Linked DNA regions of Coturnix japonica. The protein of the gene in region 1 binds, or shares a complex with, the protein of each later gene. Links are inferred from orthologs where the notes say so. Each region holds a gene or a part of one and is shown on either strand. Other genes may lie near its edges.

Region 1 (4,401 bases):
AGAATTTGCTCTTATAAGGTTCTGCCTCTATTCCCCTCATCCTGTTTTCCTTCACCCTGAATATTCATGTAAATTCTTTGGTCAGTGTATCACCTCAGTGCAATGGGGACATGCCACAGACAGGTTATGGTGCATGAGGAGCAGCAGGCTGCAGTCACCGTCATTCCCTGAACCTGGGCACTGGAACTGGAAGCAAACTGAGGCAGATGGGAGCAGCTGGAAGAAATGGTCCCTGCAGCCGCCCAGAGCTGGATGAGTTGAGCTGGCAGACTGCTCCCAAGTCCTACCCAGCTCATCTACCCACTCCTACCCCTGCCATCCACCGGTGGGAGCTTATCAATTAGCAGCAATTAATGACAATTGATGAGGAGAGCAAAGAGGAATCCACCAGAACCTCCTGGAGTGAATTTCTTTCGGATCCCCTTGGAGCACACCGCCATGCCATGGGCTTTGTCAGTGCCCCAGCGCTGCATCCACCTGTCCCTTCAGTAACATCCCTTACAATTACATGCTCCTCCCACGCTGTCTCTGACACCCCCACACCCACTCCCACCGTGTTTGGGTTGAAGCAGAACCCCTCAGCCCAGCAGTACTCTGTCTTGGAGGCGAGGCCGATGGTTTTCCACCCAAAAAGCAGTGATTTGGCAAACAACAACTTGGAAAGCAGGGAAAGTGCTTTATCTTAGCAGGAACTGGGAAGGGAGCAGCACTGAGCTCCCTGTGGAGCCTTTGTGGGGTGAGAAGCAAAAGCAGCAGGAAGAACCCCAAGCCCTGAGCAGGCATCATTTGGGCAGCTCAGCCGATGGCCACAGTCCATTGGGTAACCTGACCCCCTGGCAGCGTTCGCTATTAATAAGCCCTGATGAGGGAGGTGCCGGAGATAAAGATGAGCCCTGTGATTGTTCCCAGGCCTTTGGTATGCGGCCCCGCAGCCTGTTATTCTGACACTTGTCCCTGGCAACACTCTGCACCGCTCAACAGAACTGAAAAATGCTCCTGAAATAGCTTTGTGCCTGCACACCCTTATCTAGACATGAGTGGGTGAGACAAAGGCCCACTGGGTTCTGCGGCTGCACCGAGGGAATTCGACATGGATATAATGTTGGTATATACCCCTGTAGGTTTGCTGCCATCAATATACGCAGCAAATAACAAATCCTTACTTCCAAGGCTTTTCTAACTACTGCATGTTGGCTTTGTACAGCACTATGGATGTGGAGCTGTGCTGGATGGAACCGAACCACACAGCGATGCTTTTACTACACGGCTTTTCCCAAGCTGTTTATTGTGCCCCTGGTCACAGACACAGTTCACAGCTTTCTCCTTTTTTCTCCTCTGCCTCCAGCCTGGGAATGGTTTGTCCTGCTGCGCTCTGGGAAGGCAGACACCCAGCACACAGGATTTTGCTTTTTCTGCTCTTTTCTCCATCCCATATTTCCATTTGAAGTCAGGCACGAAAAGTTTCAGATCTTATTTATTTATTTTGCCAGATATTTTCCTACAGTTAAAATCTCGGGAACAGACTCATGAAGCAGCTATCAATTACAGCCATGTTCTGCCTCTTCTCCTTTTGCTTTTGCGCTGGCAGCTCCCTGTCAGAGCCCACCAACTTATTCCTCAGGTCAAGGACACTGCTTGGGCTATCAGATGGAGGAGGCTCGGGTTGAAACCTACAGGCTTCAGCTAGAGATGACCTTCACTGTGGATTTTTGCTCACTTTGGGGTGGAAAGGCACCCCAGGCTTTCTTCATAATTAATGCATGAAGTCCCTAAACAGTACAGCAAGGACCTGCTCCATGAGGGAACATAACTAGCTAAAAAGCTTCATTATACGGGCTGGATTTCCACTGATCTTACAGGGCGCACTCTTGTCCCTTCCTCATGCTCCTCGGGGCACTCAGCACGTCGTCATGCGCTTCCCAGCCCATCCCTCACATGTTGTCCGGATCCCGGGAGGGGTCACAGCTATAAGGGCTGACCAGGGAACAGGGAGAGCTGCCAACATCTCGTTTCCCTCCATTTTGTTTAACTAAGCAAAGTCCTTTATTCCCTCTGAACCTCTTGGAGTTGTCATTGCAGGACGTATTTTTCAACCCGGTCAACTCTATGTTAAAAACAACTAAAAAGAGTCACCCTTCAGTTCTTACGGTGTATTTTAACTCCGGGCACACAGCAGCGATTCACACAGAATCTATTTCCATCCCCATCACACCCGCATATCGCTCTGTCTAAATTACAGAATGATGCGCTGAGCTTATTATGGACCGGAGCGTTCCGGGTGCGCGGGGCAGCGCTGCGCGCAGCTGCCGGATGCTCCGCATTCCCAGAGAGCCCGAGTCCCAGCCCGGATTCCTGCGGGCAGCGGAGGGACCAGGCAGAAACACGGCACAAAGCAGAGAGTTGAAAAGTCTCATCGAAAAACACTCAGCTGAGGAAGGGGGGATTTAAGCAACGGCGCTTATGATTTTAAAGCTCCGGTAGCGACAGGGTGAGGTTGAACTCTCGCTAATCCCCTTTCAGCCGTGCAAATCAATCATTCTGTAACCCACGCGAATCACGTTCGCTCCGTGGGACGCGGTGCCGTGCCGGGATGTGCCCGCAGCCGGCAGCCGCCGCTTCCACCCCGCCGTGTTCGGACACGGCAGCGCCGGGACGTTCACGCAGACGAGGGGACTCGACTCCAGCCGAGCCGCCCGCCGGCGTCCCGTAACCCGGCCCCGGTGCCGGCAGCTCCTCGTCCCCTTCCTCCCCAGCATCCCGGCCCCGGGCGGGCACTCACCGCCGCCTTATAGATGTCATCCATGTCTGGGCAGGGAGAGCGAAGGGCCGGGGGGCGTCACTGACACGCTGTGCCGCCGCCGCCCCGCCGGCCCCACTGATATAGGGGGCAGCGGCCGGTGACGGGATGCGCCAGCCCACCACGGCCCGGCCCCGCACAGCGCCTCGCCGCGTGCCCGGGCTGCGTGGCACCGTGCCGCATCGCCACGGGCCGCTTGGCCGCGCTGAATAACGCAGGTCAGACGGAGCCCGACCGCTGCCCCGGGGGTCGGGGACCACGAAGTTGGAGGAGCCGGGGGAAACGCGCGGCACCGGGCAGGGGCAAACCGGGAGCATCCAACCGGGAGCATCCCCCGAGCATTGAGGGTCCGGCCGGGGCTGCGAACGGCTCCGGGTTGCTGCCAGGCGCTGCTCGCTGGGCTGGATTCCCGTCCTCCTGGAAGCGGCGAGTTGCGGCCCGGCCCCGCGCGGATGGAGCAGCCCACGATCGGAGCCGGCGGCGCTTCGACCCCAGCGACAAGCGGCTGTTCGGGGCAGGGAGATGCACCAACACCGGAGCGGCGCGGGCGGGCAGCGCTCCTGGGGGTGCAGCGCTCCCTCTGGTGGACTCGGTGTTGCTGGCAGCACAGCCGCACGGATGGGGGCAGCTCTGGGCTTCAACTCCGCAAATAAAAGCCATTGTCGGCTGAAGAAATCAGGCTGCGAGCCGGAATTTGGCCGAACCCGCTGAGCACCCGGCAGCGGCGGCCGGAGCCACGGTGGGTTTGTGCACCCGCCCAATGATGTGCAGCAGAGGCTGCAATGGAGCAATGTCTGCAATGTCTGCGGGCACCGCCGGGCTGCGCCGACCTTTGGGACGGGGATTGTTCAGTGCTTCGGTGACACAGCGGGGGCACAAAGGCCGCTGCATCCCCGCAGCCCGGCTGACAGCACCAGCGCCCAGAAACTTGGTGCCCATGTAGCCTGCACAGCGCTGCACTGCACGGCTCAGTACTACACTGCACAGTGCTGCGTTAGCACTACACTGCACGGCTCCGTACTGCTCAGCACGGCGCCGTGTTGCATTACTGTGCTGCACCGCATTACTGTGCTGCACCGCATTACTGTGCTGCACCGCTTTACTGTGCTGCACCGCTTACTGTGCTGCACCGCATTACTGTGCTGCCACCGCATTACTGTGCTGCACCGCATTACTGATGCTGCACTTTCGCTTTACTGTGCTGCGCACCGCTTTAACTGTGCTGCACCGCATTACTGTGCTTGCATCCGAGCAATTAGCTCGTGCCTTGCACCGCTTTTCCTGTGCTGCATCCGTCAATTAACTGTGCTGCACCGCATTACTGTGCTGCACTGCTTTACTGTGCTGCACCGCATTACTGTGCTGCACCGCATTACTGTGCTGCACTGCTTTTACTGGCTGAGCCGCATTACTGTGCTGTCACCGCTTATGTGACGTTTCGTGCTGCACTGCTATTACTGTGCTGCACGCTCGCTGCACCCATTACTGTGCTGCCCGTCAGTTACTGTGCTGCACCGCATTACTGTGCTGCACTGCTTTACTCAGCTGCACGCCGCACACGAGCATCCTCCGGACAGCAAAGCCCCGCCCCTTGTCTCTTAGCC
Region 2 (3,803 bases), on another chromosome or scaffold:
GGGGTGGGCATGGGAACTGGGGTATGCTGGGGCTCCTGCTGATGCAGGGCTGCCACACAGCAACACATCCTGAGAGCTAAAAGGGTCAGAGTCCTCACCTCATGCACACCGGAGCTCTGCCCCACAGCTTTAAGGCACCTGACTAACCTCTGCGCTTCTTCCCTTCCCTCCTCCCTGGCTCAGAAGAGGAAGAATGGCTTGAGGAAGAAGACGGTAGTTACTACACCTTTCTTTGTTTCCTATCCACCTCTGCTGTGAATGTATCGTGGGTCGGTGTGTCCTGTGCCTTTCCATGGTTGGGAAATGGATTTCTTTCCTTCTTTCACTTCTCTGCTGCTTTTTGCACTCTCTCCATCCTACTGTGCCGACCTGCTCTCATTTCTGTCTTCCATCCCAACATACCCATGGGTTGCTCTCTTCTTTTCCTTTCTTCCTCTCTTGCTGTGGGACCACACCTGTCCCACAGGACCTGTGGGCTCTGACGGAGGACTCTCGTGGGGGTACTGCTCCCTCCAGTGGAAAAATGCTCCAACAGTGTCATGCATGAGGTTTCTGCCATACAGTTTCCTTCTTTGCTGCATGGAGGAGAGCAACAGAAGTCCATCTCCTCAGCTCTGGCATCTCAGGGCACAGCTGGGGAGGGAAACAAGGGGCAAAACCAGGAGGGGGATCTGAGCCCTTGGATTTTATCCCCCCTCATCCATGCCTTACCTTTGGGTAAGGGCCTGAATAAAGCCCTTTACTTTCTGCTTCTTTCTCACATAGCTCCCCCTCCTTTGGGTCTCCTGGACTCAGTGCCATGGTTGTCCCATTCTGGGGGTCTGTAGGGAGCCAGCAGGAGCTGTGGCCATTCCACTGACCCTGTCCTTGTTGCACAGGTCAGGAGGACCAGGTAGAGGAGGAGGAAGGGGAGACAGAAGAAACCACAGCAGAAGGTGTGTGGTCTGTGTCCCAGTGCTGTCACACCTGGTGGCCACAATACAGAGTGTAAGAGACGTGTAGTGGTCCTCACCTGTGGATGCTCTGGTCACACTTTCCCCCTTACTTTTGAGACAGAACAAGAAGATGAAACAAAAGCACCGGGAGAAGGTAAAGCAAGAGCGGAGGAAAGACATTTTTTGGTCATTTCAGTCTCCTATATCACCATCTCCATGCCATGGGGTTTTCAGTACTGAATTTTGAATTCAGCTGCTGCTGAAAGGAGCCAATCTGCAGTAAATGGGGCAGAGCTACCCTGGCCCCATCCTCTAGCAGGGCAGGGGCAGTAGGAGACCTCCAGGAGGGATGTATTCATGCTGCTTAGGTAAGAAATTCACCCCGGGAAATGGAACAAGAAGGCAGCGCTGGTGCCTTCCCAGCCTGAACTCCTGCAAAGATCATATGGGCTCCCCTTGGAGAGGACCTGGGGTTCTCCCCATCCACCTGGGGGTGAGGGACCTGCCCTCCCTGTATCCATCCTGGGCTTTGTGGTGGGGACAAACAGTGCTGGGGGAGCCTTATGATCCCTCCATGGCCAACACATCCCGTATTCCACAGGTGGTGAGGGGGACCGGGAGCAGGAGCCTGGGGAAGGTGAGGCATCCATCCCTGCTTCCCTTTGGGGTAGGAGGCACTGTCCCTTCACAGTACATACCCTGAATGGCCAGAGCATCAATGCATGTCTCAGATGCTGGCACACAGATGGACACCTCACTGTGTTGCTTTGGTGGAAGAAGATGTGCCTGTGCTGCTGGGAGGAAGGAGTGGCTGGGTTTCATGGGGTTTGGGGTCAAAGTATGCCACTAACAATGCCTTTCTCTCCTGTTTCTGGGGACCCACAGGTGAATCAAAGCCCAAACCCAAGTAAGTGTTGGTGCATTTTCTTTGTTGTAAGGTTTGAACTAGGAGGTGTTCCTCTATGGCTCTCATTGTAGCTTCGTGCCACAGTGAGATCCATAAGGGACATGGGACAGCAAAGCCCTAAAAGCATGAAAGCGGGGCAGGGACTAAAACATGGAGTGAAGAGAGAAAAGCAGACAGAAAAACATGGGATTCTTCCCTGTCCTCCACAAGCACTCATCTCTGTGTGCTGTGGGGCTCAAAGAGGAGGGCTGGGCAGAGCAGTGTATGCGTGGGAGCCCTGCCCCATTCCAGCAACCTGCTCCCAACCTCCCACTCACCTTTCAGGCCCTTCATGCCCAACCTGGTGCCTCCTAAAATCCCCGATGGCGAGCGCCTGGATTTCGATGTGAGTGCATCTAACAGCAGTATCGCGGTGTTGCTGCATCCAGCAGCTCTCAGAGGGTTTCAGTGTTGTGAGCACAGCCATCATCTTCATTTCTTTCTGGTACAGGACATCCATCGCAAGCGCATGGAGAAGGACCTGAATGAGCTGCAGGCCCTCATTGAAGCCCATTTTGAGAGCAGGAAGAAGGAAGAAGAGGAGCTCATCTCTCTCAAAGACAGGATTGTATGTGGGCAGTCCATCCTCTCCGTGGGCAAACAGCCACAATGCTCTCCACATCAGGATATACCATGTCCCTGCCAGAGAATGATTGGGATTTGAACCTATTTTGGTGCCCAGGGGTTGGGAATCTGCTGTAATAGCCATTCCATATGGAGATGTGGGAGCATAAAACCTGTCCCTGGGGCTTTTGGGTCATTAGGGGTCTCAAAGAACAAAGGGAATGTCCTGAGACATCCCAACCACGGTCTTCTCTCTCTGCAGGAGCAGCGGAGGGCAGAGAGGGCAGAGCAGCAGCGCATCCGCAGTGAGAGGGAGAAGGAGCGCCAGGCCCGCATGGCTGTGAGTACCCTCAGGGCTGGGGGCTCCCTGCAGCACATTGCCCACCACCACCACTCCACACAATCCCATCCATGGGGCACACAGGCACACGAACTGTGCACGTTGCTCCACAAGGTCTCCACTCCTGACCCGCTCTTATCCCTGGCAGGAGGAAAGAGCTCGCAAAGAGGAAGAGGAGGCACGGAAGAAGGCTGAGGAAGAAGCAAGGAAAAAGAAAGCTTTCTCCAACATGCTGCATTTCGGAGGCTACATGCAGAAGGTGTGAGCCTGTACATGGGGTTGCAGTTGCAGGGGGGTTAGACCACAAGCAGGTCCTACAGGATCACATGGTGCTGCAGAGAGGGGTTCCTATGAGCTGGAGAGGACAGGAACGTGCTGGGGGCATCCCAAAAGCAAAGGGTGCTGCTGGGAGGAAGAGCTGGGGATGGGAGCTGAGGCCGGGCAGGTTCCTTCCCTCTGATGGGCTCCAATTGTTTGTGCAGTCAGAGAAAAAGGGTGGCAAGAAGCAAACGGAGCGGGAGAAGAAGAAAAAGATCCTCAGCGAGCGGCGGAAGCCCCTGAACATCGACCACCTCAATGAAGACAAGCTGAGGTAGGTGTCACGGGTTAACAAAACCATGACAGGTAGGGATGCTGCAGGAGGAGCGAACGGGGATGTGCCATATCCGTGGCTGTGCCTGGCTGCGGGTGACAGCGGCGGCCATCAGAGGGAGCCACGCTCACAGACGTGGGACACGCGTGTCCCCACAGCGAGACACACACGTGGGACTGCCCAGCAACACCCGTGGATGGTTCCTGCCTCGGAGGGGCTGGCGTTGCTGCCCCGTCCCTTTCATCCCTCTTCCACACTGACATCATCCATCTGTTCCCATAGGGACAAAGCCAAGGAGCTGTGGCAAACCATCCGTGACCTGGAGGCTGAGAAATTTGACTTGCAGGAGAAGTTCAAGCGGCAGAAGTACGAGGTGAGCTGCCAGCTCCTCACTGCTGGCTCTCCCTGGCTGCTTCTCCAGCTCCT

Evidence for each region.
Region 2: the proteins of TNNC1 (region 1) and TNNT2 are in contact, whole or in part, in a crystal structure (PDB 1J1D), measured with the Homo sapiens proteins. The link is inferred for Coturnix japonica from reciprocal best matches to the Homo sapiens genes TNNC1 and TNNT2. Residues at the interface, in NP_003271.1 of Homo sapiens: Asp99, Phe101, Arg102, Asp105, Ala108, Asp109, Gly110, Tyr111, Arg147, Tyr150, Asp151; in NP_001263274.1 of Homo sapiens: Gln266, Tyr269, Asn272, Val273, Asn276, Arg277, Asp280.

What each region holds. Positions count from the first base shown.
Region 1 is NC_029527.1:240,672-245,072, forward strand, and holds the start of TNNC1 (troponin C, slow skeletal and cardiac muscles), read right to left. Parts: upstream 2,886-4,401; 5' UTR 2,804-2,885; coding exon 2,780-2,803; intron 1-2,779. UniProt on the Homo sapiens protein: Troponin is the central regulatory protein of striated muscle contraction. Tn consists of three components: Tn-I which is the inhibitor of actomyosin ATPase, Tn-T which contains the binding site for tropomyosin and Tn-C.
Region 2 is NC_029541.1:1,182,165-1,185,967, forward strand, and holds part of TNNT2 (troponin T, cardiac muscle), read left to right. Parts: intron 1-183; coding exon 184-213; intron 214-878; coding exon 879-935; intron 936-1,056; coding exon 1,057-1,089; intron 1,090-1,536; coding exon 1,537-1,572; intron 1,573-1,820; coding exon 1,821-1,842; intron 1,843-2,166; coding exon 2,167-2,227; intron 2,228-2,332; coding exon 2,333-2,449; intron 2,450-2,707; coding exon 2,708-2,785; intron 2,786-2,933; coding exon 2,934-3,044; intron 3,045-3,267; coding exon 3,268-3,377; intron 3,378-3,659; coding exon 3,660-3,750; intron 3,751-3,803. UniProt on the Homo sapiens protein: Troponin T is the tropomyosin-binding subunit of troponin, the thin filament regulatory complex which confers calcium-sensitivity to striated muscle actomyosin ATPase activity.